Cricetulus griseus: one gene and its partner. The protein of the gene in region 2 purifies or fractionates together with the protein of the main gene of each other region. This does not show direct contact. Links are inferred from orthologs where the notes say so. Each region holds a gene or a part of one and is shown on either strand. Other genes may lie near its edges.

What was found. Proteins that work in one complex are often made in the same cells at the same time.
Region 1: the proteins of Ecd (region 2) and Znhit2 purify together in Homo sapiens (affinity purification with mass spectrometry; 3 studies listed by BioGRID and IntAct, counting the BioPlex papers as one, with this or other methods). This does not show direct contact. The link is inferred for Cricetulus griseus from reciprocal best matches to the Homo sapiens genes ECD and ZNHIT2.

What each region holds. Positions count from the first base shown.
Region 1 is NC_048596.1:53,287,154-53,294,152, forward strand, and holds Znhit2 (zinc finger HIT domain-containing protein 2), read right to left. Parts: upstream 4,449-6,999; 5' UTR 4,213-4,448; coding exon 3,016-4,212; 3' UTR 2,972-3,015; downstream 1-2,971. Other genes in the region: delta(14)-sterol reductase TM7SF2, read left to right, coding at 1,257-1,376, 1,465-1,633, 1,839-1,919, 2,003-2,125, 2,278-2,438; Fau (40S ribosomal protein S30), read right to left, coding at 6,149-6,274, 6,436-6,491. UniProt on the Homo sapiens protein: May act as a bridging factor mediating the interaction between the R2TP/Prefoldin-like (R2TP/PFDL) complex and U5 small nuclear ribonucleoprotein (U5 snRNP).
Region 2 is NW_023276807.1:200,642,835-200,650,027, forward strand, and holds part of Ecd (protein ecdysoneless homolog), read left to right. Parts: intron 1-112; coding exon 113-305; intron 306-845; coding exon 846-974; intron 975-3,856; coding exon 3,857-3,985; intron 3,986-4,650; coding exon 4,651-4,736; intron 4,737-7,193. UniProt on the Homo sapiens protein: Regulator of p53/TP53 stability and function. Inhibits MDM2-mediated degradation of p53/TP53 possibly by cooperating in part with TXNIP. May be involved transcriptional regulation. In vitro has intrinsic transactivation activity enhanced by EP300.

The DNA of each region.
Region 1 (6,999 bases), on a different chromosome or scaffold from region 2:
GACAGCAATCATCATTCATTTGCCAATATGTTGTTTTGGCATGAAGTCATGGTTTTGCTTTAGTATTAAGATCAAGAGGGGTCTTAATAACAAATCTTTAAAAAAAAAAAAAAAGGTAGAGAGCATTTGGCTCACACACACACACACACACACACACACACACACACACACACACACACCCTCAATTCCAACCCTAGCACCACAAAACTAAATATATATGGCATACATAGCAATAAAGTGAAGATTTGGATGCAGTGCTCAAGTACAAAACTGACTTCAAAGACAATGACCAAGCTGCTTGAAGGGCAAGGCAGCTCTGTGCCTCCAGTGGATTGTTTGTCATTGGTGGCCCTAACAACACAGCAGCTGTTCTTGGGCTAAGATCACACAGACATGGACGGTGGTGAAGAGTTCCAAAGAGATTCAGGCAAGGCCCTGCTTTCATCTTGGAGATCTTACCCAGAGGCAGGAGTGCCAAGTAACCTCTATGAATCTGAGTTTGGGTTTGGTTTGGATTTGAAACAGGTCTCACTAGGATAGCCCTGGCTATCAATGTCTCCTCCACTTTCTTCACCTACTTAAGTAACTAGGATTAGTTATTGTAACCCCACCTGGCCTGGTCCCTCCAAGGATCTGGAGATTGGCCTGCCTACACACATACCAGACTCTAAGGTTATTTTCTCACTGAAGAAACAGGATGGGATGAAGTTTTCTTCTACAATTACTGTGAGGGCTGGGTGTGGTGGCACACTCCTTCAATTCCAGCACTTAGGAGGCAGAGGCAGGTAGATTTTTATGACTTTAGGTTAGCCTGGTTGTACACATTTTCAGTCCAATCAAGGCTACTTAGTGAGACTTTTTTTTTTTTTTAATTAGAGGTACCCTTAATGAAAGTACTATGTCAGTATTACTGAAGAAGCTACCTAGTCCACTGGAACTACTAAAACAAGGGTACAAAGTACAGGTTCACGACAAGCTAATCCTCAGCTCTGCAAGCATTATATTTTTCTTTAAACAGCAAGACAGGGCTCTTATCCCCATTTTCCACATGGCAGTGGGAAAGTGAGCTTCAGCAAGGATATATACTCTGCCCAAGTGGCAAAGCTCAGATTCAAAAGCAGGAGTTTTAAGTATAGGCAGCTTCGACCTAGATTCATTCAACATGTGAACTGACAGTTGAGGGAGGGGAGAGGTTGACACTTTTCCACTCTGATGCTCCCACTCAGAGACAATGGCCCTGTCCCCACTTCCCTCAGGTTTTTATTAACCTGGCCCTGCTGATACAGGAGGCAGAGCTACGGGGGAGTCCTTCACTGGCCATGTGGCTGGTCAATGCCTTCCAGTTGCTGTATGTGGGTGATGCCCTCTGGTATGAGGTGAGGCTGGATTGGAAGGGGAGGTGAGAAAGGGATCCTGAAGATGTCATCTGGACTAAGCCAGTGTGTCTGGGTCCTGTCCCTGCAGGAGTCTGTCCTCACCACCATGGACATAATACATGATGGATTTGGTTTCATGCTGGCCTTTGGAGACCTAGCCTGGGTACCCTTCACCTACAGCTTGCAGGCCCAGTTCCTGCTATACCATCCACAGCCTCTGGGGTTGCCCATGGCCTTGCTCATCTGCCTTATTAAGGGTCAGTAGGAGGGCCTTCATTTCCCCTCCCTCTTTCATACTTCATTCACTGCCCATTAGGTAGATCCCAGGCTCTGATGCTCCTCTAAAGCTGGGAGCTGGCCCCCTGGGTGTCATAACAGAGCCTGGGATTTGGACAGGCTTGTTGTCAGGGCGAGGAAGAAGGCTTGGACTTCATCTCACTACCTGATCATACTTTCTCTCAGTTATTGGTTACTACATCTTCCGTGGTGCTAACTCCCAGAAAAACACATTCCGGAAGAATCCTTCTGACCCCAGTGTGGCTGGTGAGCTGGGTCTCCTGGAGACTATGGGTGAGATGAAGGGTCAGGCTTTGAGGCTCCCTGGTTCATTAGCTACCTTTCTCCAGGTCTTGAAACCATCCCTACTGCCACAGGACGGCAGCTGCTGGTATCTGGGTGGTGGGGTATGGTTCGTCACCCCAACTACTTGGGAGACCTCATCATGGCTCTGGCCTGGTCCTTGCCCTGTGGTGAGTAGGTCTGGGAAGGGAGGCTCAGTCTGGTGTGACTGGAGATGGACCCCGTGTATCACTGATGAACCCTGTCACCCTGTGTGTCATTAGCTGAGAAAGCCATTATACACCGGGTGCTGGTGTCTCATCATGCAACCCCTTCCCTACAGGGGTGTCTCACCTGCTGCCCTACTTCTACCTCCTTTACTTCACTGCATTGCTGGTACACCGGGAGGCCCGAGATGAGCAGCAGTGCCTTCGCAAGTATGGCCGTGCCTGGCAGGAATACTGCAAACGTGTGCCTTATCGAATCATACCCTATGTCTACTGAGGCAGAGCCATCTAACAAGCTCAGGCCTGAACACATGTGGGGTGAAGGGCCTGCACCCCATTCTACTTGGCAGGGATGACCAGCCTCAGAGTCTGACGCAAGAAGAGGGAACCACTGCTCCCATATGAAAATACTTTTCCCTGCTGGATAAATGTTTTCAATCTTGTTTTTCTTCTATTCTGGGGTCAGTGATTTGGGGGAGAGAGGTAGAGAACTAGCTGACTAGGGAAGCTGTACTAGGGAAGTGGTTTGTGTGTCCAGGGTAGCTTCGTGGAACAACTGGTTTCTCTCAGAAATGGGCACTTCAGGCCTGGGGGATGTAGTTGTTATATAGAATGCTTGCTTAGCATTCAAGAAGCCTTTGACCTTCAGCACTGCATAAATTAGCAAGGTGACTTAACACTTGTAATCCCAGCACTGTCAAGGTAGAGGCAGGCTCGGCTCAGAAGTTCAAGGTCATCAGCTACACAGTGACTTCAAGGAAAGTCTAGGATAGGGTACTGTCTTTGAAGAAAATAAAGGTACTGCCAACATTTGGACAGACCAGTGACAGCTTTATTAATACCACACACCCAGCTCAGCCAGGGAGCTCCTCAATGAGAGTCCTTGGAGCAGGTGGTACCGGGCCTCCCCAAAGCCGCTCCAGCTCCCCAGTAAGGGTTGCCATCTCCTCGGCTGTGACAGCATGGGCTCGGTGGACCCTGGCACAGTCTAGAGCCAGTGGTGTGAGAGCAACCTCATTTTCGTTGGTCCAGGCTAGGAGGAACTGGCACTTCTTCCGAGCCCGGTAAAGGCGATTTCGTTCTTCGCTAACCACAGCCTGTTTCCGGGCTCGGCCCAGGGTTTGGGCCAGGTGCCCCAGTGCTGTCAGCGTGTAGCCTTTCTGGTTGATAGGACCCTCGCCCAGCAGAATACGAGCAACCTCTTGCATAGCACCCCGCGTACCCAAGGGCCCAGGTGGGTGTTCACCCGCTTCCAGCACGTGGGCTGCGGCCTGCAGGGCTTCCTCCGTAGAGTCAAAGACTTGCTGGGCGCCCAGGGCTCCAGAAACATCGAGCAGTGTGGCACAGAAATCAGAGAGTAGAGCGTCGTCGTCCCCTCCATGATACAGGGCGAGAGTGTGAGCGTAGGCGAACAGCACATTGGGCAGCTGGAATCGCACGAGTGGCGAGGGCGGGCAGCGGCTCAGGCTGGCCAGCGCTGGGATACGGGAGGGCACTGCGGGCGGCACGGCGGCATTTGAGTCTTCAGCAAGAGGCACCGCGGCGGCATCATCCACAGATTCGGGCGCGGTGCTCTCTGGGGCGGTCTCCGGCTCCGAAAGATCCCTGCCCGGGGCACGATCCAACTCCTCCATAAATCGCGGGCCACCCCCGCGGCCCCACCACCAGGGTCTCCACGGGGGCAGAAGGCGTCCAGCATCGCCACGGCTCAGCAGCCGCTCGAACGCCGCCTTCTCAGCCGGTGACAAGCTTTCCCAGAGTCCAGAAAGGCCGTTCGGCCGCGGGCCGGGCCTGAGGCCTATTTCCTCGGGCTCATCCTCGGTCTCCCGTTGTTCGCGTAGCCGGCGTAGTGCTCCCGCCAGACGGCTGGGAGAGGCACTCCGGCCGCGGAGCTCTCGCAGCACCTGGTCGCGGTAGAAGTCTTCGGCGCAGGAGCCATGCGCCCGGTAGCAGCGCAGCGAGCAGTAGGGCGCGTTGCAGCGCGGGCAGGTGTAGCGCGCCGGCAAAGCTTCCCCGCCTGGGCAGAAGCCGCAGAGCCCTACGGGCTCCATGGCAACTGGCGCCGCGTGTCGGGCACCACACAGCAGACGTAGCTCCGCCACTTCCGGTGCTTCTTCGGTTATTTCCGCCTTTGTGCGTGGGGCGACGTACCTTCTCGGTAACTTCCGTCTCTAGAGTAGCCTTTTGAGCATGCGCAGAACACGCCCAAGGTCTAACCAACACGGTGGCTCTCGAGAGTTAGAAGATTAATGTCGCTGATCCCAGCTTGTTCCCTGTGGTTTTACCAAATTGTGCAAAAATAAACTACCTTTTAAGCAAAACCAACCAACAAAAAAAATCCAGAATCTTAGGGGTGTAGCGACACACGCCTTTAATTTAATCCCCGCACCAGGTCCCCAGAGGCAGGGCGATTTCTGAGTTTCAGGTCTACCCAGTGAGTTCCAGAATAGTCAGAGCTACAGTAAGACCCTGTCTTGAAAATACCCCCAAAATAATAAAAACCCTACAAGAACCAAATCATAAACCAGGCATGACAAAGAATCTGAAGAGCAGGTTCCAGGACAGCCTCCGAAGCCACAGAGAAGCCCCGAAGATACTTAACATATCAATATAACAAACTGGGGCAGCCCAACCTCCAAGTTGGATTGAAATTCAATTCCTAGTATTTGTTTTGTGCCACCCATCCCCACCCAACCCCTGACTGCCACCAGAGGTTTGTGTAGCCTTGGCTTTCCTAGAACTAGCGCTGTAAACCAGGCTAGGCTAGCCTCTTCCTCTCAGAACTGGGATTAATGGTATGTGCCACTATGCATGGATCGCAAACTACATAGTTTCATACTTTTCCTCTACAAAGAACCTGAGTTGGGAATTTGACCCTTAAGCACTGCTCAGGCCAAGTGTGGTAGTCTACACAGCATGTGGTAGTCTAGTAACATTTGGGAGGCTGGGAAAGGAATATTAAGAGTCCAAAACTAGCCTGGGCTTAATAAAAACCATTTGCCTCCAAATCCCTGGTACACTCCTGAATGCTGTCCTAACAAGAATGTGGGAATACCCACACCCACTATAGTAAAAAGCTAATGGCTAAACAATGAGTCTGAGACAGTCACTATTCAGAGTCTACAATGGGTTAGACACTGGTTGCAGCGCATTTTACAGTTTGACCAGTATCTCTCACAAAGCTTAAATGGAATGGAGTGTCCAACTATTCTTTGGCCTTACTCCTTGGTGCATTCCAAGATGCAATGGGATCTGGGTGTAGTGGAAGCCTGGTGCTAAGGGTGGAACCATTTAATCAGCTTCTCAGTCACAGTTGTGATCAAGTTCAGCCAGACAAGATCAGGATGCCAGTGCAATCAGACAATTCCAATGCCGAGGGACCCGATGCTCCTTGTGTTTTGAACTTTTTTTTTTTAAGATTTTATTTATTATGTATAAAACATTCTGCTTCCATGTATATCTGCACACCAAAAGAGGGCACCAAATCTCATAAGGTTTGGTTGTGAGCCACCATGTGGTTGCTGGGAATTGAACTCATGACCTCTGGAAGAGCAGTCAGTGCTCTTAACCTCTGAGCCATCTCTCCAGCCCGTGTTTTGAACTTTTATTGATAGTACAGCTGGTCCCAAATTCAGTAAAAACCGATTCACCTTCTAACCAAGGCCTCCCCTCCCTTTAATCATTGCCTCTCCAAAACAGCCTAACACTGAACCTGTTTGGTTGGTTGAAATAGGGTCTCTATGTAGACCAGGGTGGCCTTGAACTCAGATCACCTGCTACATCTACTCAGGCCTCCCAAGTGCTAGGCCTAAAAGGTGTGCACCACTTCTGCCCGCTGTGGTGAGATTCTCATTTATCACTCCCAATGGCCAAGAGACACTTTACTAGCCTAAAAGTTCTATTTCTTCTTAAGGCCTCACAAATGATGAAAGCAGTAACACATCTGGGCAAAGTGGCTTTATTAGAGTGCAAGAATCACAGAAGGACTTAGGAATTAGCATTAGGGCCCTTCTTCTTGCCAAAGGTTGGCACCACGTTAACAAAGCGACGGTTATACTGCATCCGCCGCTTGGCCCGACCTGTCTTCTTCTTTTTTTTCTCTTGTTTGGCCACCTGGGAAAGGGAAGGACTGACTGGTAAGACCCTGGTTCACCTCTCCCATGCCTGGCATCCTTCCCACCAATTCCTCTCCAGGAAAGAGAATACAAACAGGAAAACCAAAGGTCTTTGATTTTGCTGCAATAGTGCAAATAACAATTCTGGCACTCACTCACCTTGGGAGTTTGACCTCTCACTTTTCCAGCACGAGCTAGGGAACCATGAACTTTACCTGTGTGGGGAAGGAAGAAAGGCAGATCAGAAGCAACGCCCTAGTTGGGCGTTGGTGGCACACACCTTTAATCCCAGCACTAGGGAGACAGAAGCAGGTGGATCTGTGAGTTCGAGACCAGGCTGATCTACAAGAGCTAGTTCCAGGACAGCCTCCAAAAGCTAGAGGAAACCCTGGGGGACGGGGGAACGGGGGGACGGGGGGGGGGGGGGGGGGGACGGGACAAAGACAAGTTTGGGTCCAACAAGGAATGAAACCAAGTTGCACAGATTAGAGATGGAGGCCACAGAATAGCTATCCCAGGTTGGTTTCCACCACAATGTCACTGTGGCCAGTCTGTTCAGTGCTGAGGGTTGATGTATATACTACTAAGGCAAGAACTATCCTTAGCTAACATTTTACATACAAAACAAAGACAGGAAGCCAGATTTTGATTGTTATTGCTCTTTTGTCTCCTGACAGCGTTTCTCTGTGTAGCCCTGGCTGTCCTGGAAGTTGCTTTGTACAC
Region 2 (7,193 bases):
CAGAAATAGAGGATCTCTGTGAGTTCCAGGACAGCCAGGAGTACGCAGTGAGACCCTGCAAAAAATATTAATATTTGCATTCAAAGTAAAAGCATTATGCTACCTGTCACAGGTACCCAGAAAAAATTGAAGCTTCTCTTCATCGAGCACACTGCTTCCTTCCAGCTGGCATTGTGGCAGTACTCAAACAACGACCCAGACTAGTGTCTGCAGCAGTCCAGGCCTTCTACTTACGGGACCCCATTGACCTGAGGGCCTGTCGAGTTTTCAAGACATTTTTGCCTGAAACACGAATAATGGCATCTGTGAGATAACTTTCTTGGTCATTTAGTTTTTCTTATAATTTTAATAGTTCTCTTAGAAAATTAATGCACATTTCTGTCTTTTTCTCTCTCTTTTTTTTTAACCCAAGCCTGTATGTGTGTAGGTGGGGGCAGGGTCAAGAGACTCCTAATTTTGTGATTTAGTATGATTAGTACTTTTGACACATTTTCAGAAATACAGAGGTATTTCTGTAATTACCTCCTTAACAATAAAACATTTCATCCCTTAAGGCTTACTGTCTTAATACCCCTCCCAAATTGCCGTAGTGTGATTAGTGGTAATTACAGTAGTGACAGCTGAGAGGTGGGCAGTAGGGTAAATTTCACAGTTTGTGAATGTTTATCTCACTAGCTGTGTCTGAAAACACACAGGAAGTGAACAGGCTGTACCTTCTCTGCACTTCACCTCTGGGTATATGAACTAAAGCACATCAGTGGACTGACTGTTAGATCCAACTGTGAAATGATATTCAAAACTCAACTTCAAGAACAGACTCACATATTTTGTATCCCAATGCCCAGGTCACTTTTACCAAATGTCTGTACGCGCAGCTGCTACAACAGAAGTTTGTGCCAGACAGGCGGAGTGGATATGGGCTGCCACCTCCATCACATCCCCAGTTCCGAGCCCATGAATTGGGCATGAAGTTGGTAATGTTGACCAAGAAAACTGCCTAACTTACCTCCCCTCCATCCTTCCCTCTCTCCCTACTTCCTCTCCTCCCGCCCCCCACCCCCTCCTCCCTTTCCCCCTTACTTTCTTTCTCTAATATGAAAGGGCTTTAAGGACTGGAGAAATGGCTCAGTGGCTAGAAGTGCATATTGCCCTTGCAGAGGACCCAAGTTTGATTGCCAGCATCTATATCTGGTGACTCACAACAGCCTGTAATTCCAGAACCAGTGAGTTCCCAGGCTTCAGGCCTCTGTGAGTACCTGCATTCATATGGATGTACCCATCTACACACATACAAATAATAAGTAATTTTTAAAAAGACTACACATAGAAAGACACTCTTGACTTGATAAAGATATAAATCGATTCAATCCTTATAGGAAATCATTTCCCACTATTTATCAACACTTAAATTGTACCAAACATTTTGCCTGCCATTTTCACCTGAGTTAATGAATGGCACAGCATAGGAACTCTAGAAATAAGCCCTGCTTATGTGAGAATGTAGTAAAATTCATCAATTCAGATCAGAGCGTCAGGAGAATTACTCAGTAAATACTGATCCAATAGCTGTGAAGCCTTCTGAGAATAAAAGGTCAATTCCTTCACACTTAGGACAGAATAAATTCCACTGGGATTAAATAATTTAATGTAAAAATGGAAACTGTAAAAATTAGAAAATATAGAAAATTATCTGACTAGGAAAGGCCTTTTCAAGCATGGCTTGCAACCATAGGCAATAAAAGATTGATATAATTTGATGATGTAAAGGTTTCTAGCCAAGTGCAGTGTGCATCTGTGGTCCCTTTAGAGTCCAGCAGCCAGAATGCAGCCTGGGTGACAGGTAGCAACACTGTCACAAACACCAATGTAGCAGTAGATGGAAGAAGAGAAATTCTGCTTGGAAAAGAAAAATGTCATGAACTCAAAAGATACCAGAAAATCTGGAGAAGGAGTATTAGGTGTTCCTATAGAAAAGAATGCTTGGGCTGGAGAGATGGCTCAGTGGTTAAGAGCACTGGCTGTTTTTCCAGAGGTCCTGAGTTCAATTCCCAGCAACCACATGGTAGCTTACAACCATCTGTAATGTAATCTGATGTCCTTTTCTGGCATGCAGACATACATGCTGACAGAACACTCATACCTCAAAAAATGCGTAATAAATAAAATCTTAAAAAAAGAAAAAAAAATGGGGCTGGAGAGATGGCTCAGTGGTTAAGAGCACTGACTGTTCTTCCAGAGGTCCTGAGTTCAATTCCCAGCAACCACATGGTGGCTCACAACCATCCGTTATAAGATCTGGTGCCCTCTTCTGGTGTTCAGATATACATGGAAGCAGAATGTTGTATACAAATAAACAAATAAGATCTTTAAAAAAAAAAAGCTAACTGATTAATTTTAAATGTTCAGAAGCTGAACAGATAGTTCACAGAGAAGGAAGTACAAATGAATTTTAATTTAAACATGAAAAAGCATTGACCTCTCTACTTAAAAATTAATATAATTTAAAGCCACAAAATAGTTTTTCACTACTAGATTGGCAAATATAAAAAAGTATGGGAACATATACTGAGCTGGTAAGCATTTATAGGATATATAAAGGAAAAGGGTACTCTAACATGTGGATAGAAATAAAAATTTAGCTGGGTGTGGTGGCGCACACTTTTAATCCCAGCTCTTGGGCGGGAGAGACAGACCTCTGAATTCTAGGACAGCCTAGCCTGTGTAGTGAGTTCCAGGACAGCCAGGGCTACATAGTGAAATCCTGTCTCAAACACACACACACACACACACACACACACACACACACACACACACACACACAGAGAGAGAGAGAGAGAGAGAGAGAGAGAGAGAGAGTCTTAAGTTGATTCATTCCCTGTGAAAACCAGTTTCCACTATCCATCAACACTGAAATTGCATTGACCATTTTGCTTATCATTTGCACTTCTAGAAATGTGTTTCCAGGTTTCAAAACCACTAGACTTCTACTCAGGAAACATCATTTGTAATAGTGAAAACTTAGAAAACACCTAAGTGCATGGAAGAATAGATAAATTACGCCATGTTTGTGAAGTGAAGTTGACAAATTGATGTGTGCCGGTAGGAAATTCTCTCCTTATCATGCAGTTACGTGCAGTAGAGTGTGTGCTGCTGTTGGGGTGATGAGAGGGTAGAGAAGGATGGCACCAGTATTTACTTGAGTGCACAGATTACTTCTTAAGGGAGGTGCCGGACTTAGGTAATGACTTTGAATTATTGTGCCATATTATTATCATTTTTTACCAAAGGATCTTAAAACAAAATCATTCTGTTCTTTCCTGTGTCTGAGAATATGCTCAACTTACTTTCACATTGTTGTTACATTTTCATTGATCTATTTCGTGTGCATGGCAGGGTTGGGGGGAGCCTGCCATGGTGCACAGTGGGGGTCAGAAGATAACTTTTGCGTTGGTTCTCTTCTACCATGTGGGTTTCAGAGATTGAACACAAGCCATCAGGCTTGGTGGCAAGCCCCTTTATCCACTGAGCCATCTTGCCAGCTCAGAAACAAATTCTACTTTTCGTATAATTTAAAAGGTGTTCTAAGTGAAGCTGGGTATGGTGGTGCACACCTTGATCCCAGCACTCGGGAGGCAGAGTTTGAGGCCAGCCTGGTCTGCATACTGAGTTCCAGGGACAGCCAGGTATATATACTGAAACCCTGTCTGAAAAAAGAAACTAAAAAGTGTTCAAGTGTTCACATTTCATTGTGTCCAGTCATCTAGTTCTTGATAAGGGCTAAATGGGAAAAATTAATTTAAGATGACAGAGAAAAAGAAAATGCAAGAATAACAAACATTCTTTCTATCTCATCTAGGCTCATGGATTTGAGATTTTGTGCTCCAAATGTAGCCCACATTTTTCTGACTCCAGGAAATCCCTTGTGACTGCTTCACCCCTCTGGGCCAGCTTCCTTGAAAGTCTGAAGAGGAATGATTACTTTAAGGTGGGAATTGTGGTGGTTGCTTCTTCTTATGAATGTGTGTGCATGTATGTGTTATTTGTGTTCTTACACGTGGTGGGGGCCAGAGGGTGGGTAGAGGCGGGGTCTTCCTCTCACTGAACCTGGAGCTCACTAGTTGACTATACTGGTTGGCCAAGGAGATTATAGGCCAGCCTCATCTCAGAGAAATAAATCGAACACCACCACCAAATCCACCCTCACAGGTGGTGGATGTAAACAAATGAGCATGATAATGAAGATGATTAAAACTGAATGCTCCTATACATAGTTTTTGAGAGACCCTTACATTCGAGAATGTAATAGGCATGAGTATGCTCAAAATGCATTAAATATACATACAAGGATATCAAAAATAAAACCCATTACTATATATATTTATCATCTGCTAATGAAACACTCACTAAAATCAATGGAATTTGAGGTCAGATATGGTACTACACACATGTAATCCCAGCTCACCAGAGACTCAGACAGGAAATTCTAAGTTCAAGGCCTGTCTGACTGTGTAGCTATTTAAAGGCCAGCTGAGCCACTTACAAAATCTAGTTTCAAAATAATAATAAAATTGGTCTGGGAGAATAGCACAGTGATGGAGCACCCTCATATTGTGTAGGCACTGTTCTAATGACCGGTATTGTGTTTTCAAGGGACTGATAGAAGGTTCTGCTCAGTACCAGGAAAGACTAGAAATGGCAAAGAACTACTTCCAGCTCTCCATACACCGCCCGGAAAGGTGAGCTATAGCTACCACCCACCACAGAGGAAGGCAGACTGCTGGTTGGGTAGTTCTTTTTAACTAATATGTTTTATAAAATGTCATGGCTGTATGTGTGTATAATGTGTGTATGGATACAGACATGAGCATGCCACTGGGGGAATCAGTGTTTGAATCTATATTATAGATATTTTTATTGTTGTACATAATTTTAGTTAATCATTTTTCTATGAGTATATTTCTTTTTAAAATATTTATTATTTTTATGTATGTGAGTGTTTTGCTTGTATGTCTGTGCACTGCATGCATGCCTGGTTCCCTAAGGAAGCCAGAAGATGGTGTTAGGTCCTCTGGAGCTGGGTTACAATTGTTTGTGGACAGTTACAGCCATGTGAATGAGTGCTGGAACTGAATCTAGGTCCTCTGGAAGAACAACCAGTGCTCTTAACCTCTGAGACACCTCTCCAGTCCCCTACAGTTCTGGGTTTTTGTTTGTTTGTTTGTTTTTTGAGACTGACAAGTGTATGTATTGTTAGACACTGAGGCCAGGAGACTCACAGCCTAAGTGCTCACAGGCTGCCCTGGCACTGAGCACAGGGGTTTGCCTGGCCTTAAAGAAGCCCCACCCCCTACAGTTCTTTATGACACAATATTTAAGGAAATGGATTATGCCATAAAGCACACAACTGTTTTTGCTACTGAAGAAAATATACAAGCTGCTAAACATCTAATATTTTAAGCAAGTGTGATGGTTCATGGGTGTAATCTTAGCACTCAGAAGGCTGAAGCAGGAGGATCACTATGAGTTTGAGGCCAACTGGGCTACATAATTTTTAGGTCAACCTAGCTCATAAAGAGAGATGTTGACTCAAGAAACAAAACAACCAGAATTTGAAAGTTTCAAGGGGGACTCCCATTTCTCACATTAGCCATTTTTCAACAATTTCATTTTGATTTGCTTTGTTTTGGTCTTTTGATATTTAAGTCAGAGTCTCACTATGTATCCCAGCTAGTCTTACATTCTTGTTCCTCTTGCCTCCTCCTTCCAAATTCTGGAATTAAGAACATGAGCCTCGGGATGGGAGTGAGGGGAGGGAGAGGGAGCAGGGATCGACATGTGAAACAAGCTTGTTCCTAATTTGAACAATTAATAAAAAAAAAAAAGTAAACAAAAAAAAAAAAAGAAAAAAGAACATGAGCCACTGCTGGGTGGTGGTAATGCACGCCTTTAATCCCAGACTTTGGAGGCAGAGGCAGGTGGATCTCAGTGAGTTCCAGGACAGCTAGGACTATTACACAGAGAAACCTGCCTTGAAAGACAGAGAGAGAGAGAGAGAGGGAGAGAGAGAGAGAATATGAGCCACCAAGCCTGGCCTTTTAAACTATTATAAACCAAACTCCTATCTCCCTCCAGACCTGTTCTTGAATCCCAAGTCTTAGATGTCTTCTTCATTTATTTAGACTTGTTTCATCTTCTGTCTATGCCTGTTTTGCCTGAATGTACGTTGTGTGCCATGTTTGTTCCTGGTACTCTTGGGTCGGGAGAGGGTATCAGATCTCCTGGACCTGGAGTTACCAATTTGTTGTGAGCTGTCACGTGAGTGATGAGAGACAAGTCTGAATGCTCTGCAAGAGCTAAGTGCTCTTAACCACCGAGCCATCTCTCCAGTCCTTAGAGCTTTTTAATTTATTTATTATATATACAGTGTTCTGCATGTTTGCCTGCATTCCAGAAGAGGAAACTAGATCTCATTATAGATGGTTGTGAGTCACCATATGGTTGCTGGGAATTGAACTCAGGACCTTTGGAAGAACTGTCAATGCTTAACCTCTGAGCCATCCTTAGAGCTTTGTTTTGTTTGTTTGTTTTTAGAGACAGGGTTTCTCTGTGTAGCCTTGGCTGTCCTGGAACTTGCTCTGTAGACCAGGCTGTTCTCGAATTCAGAGATCCACCTGCCTCTGCCTCCCGAGTGCTGGGATTAAAGGTGTGCTCTACCTCCATCCGGATCATTGTAGTGTTTTAAAGTGTATATCCACTGCAGAACGGTTAAATCTAAGTAAAATGTGTATTACCTCATATATACTTGACGATGTACTTAAAAAATACAGAGTGAATTATAAGTGTTCTGGGTGCATGTGTGCCACAGCATACTTGTGGAAGTTAAAGGGTAACTTGCAGGAGTCAGTTTTCTCCATTCACCATGCAGGTCCTGAGGGTCAAACTCAGGGCATTGGGTTTGGTAGCAGGTGCCTTAACCCACTGAGACATGTTTCAGGTCCCATCTCTTCTTTAAAGGGAAAAAAAAAAAAAAAAAAACTTGTCCACACCCCAATAAAAGTAATCAATTGCCCTCTTCCACATCTCTTTAGCCTTTGTTGTTCTTAAATGATTGTATTTTGCCATAAAAAAAGTCACTTTTAGGGTTTTGTTTTACTGATTATCAGTATCTTTTTTTAGTTCATACCAGCCTCAAA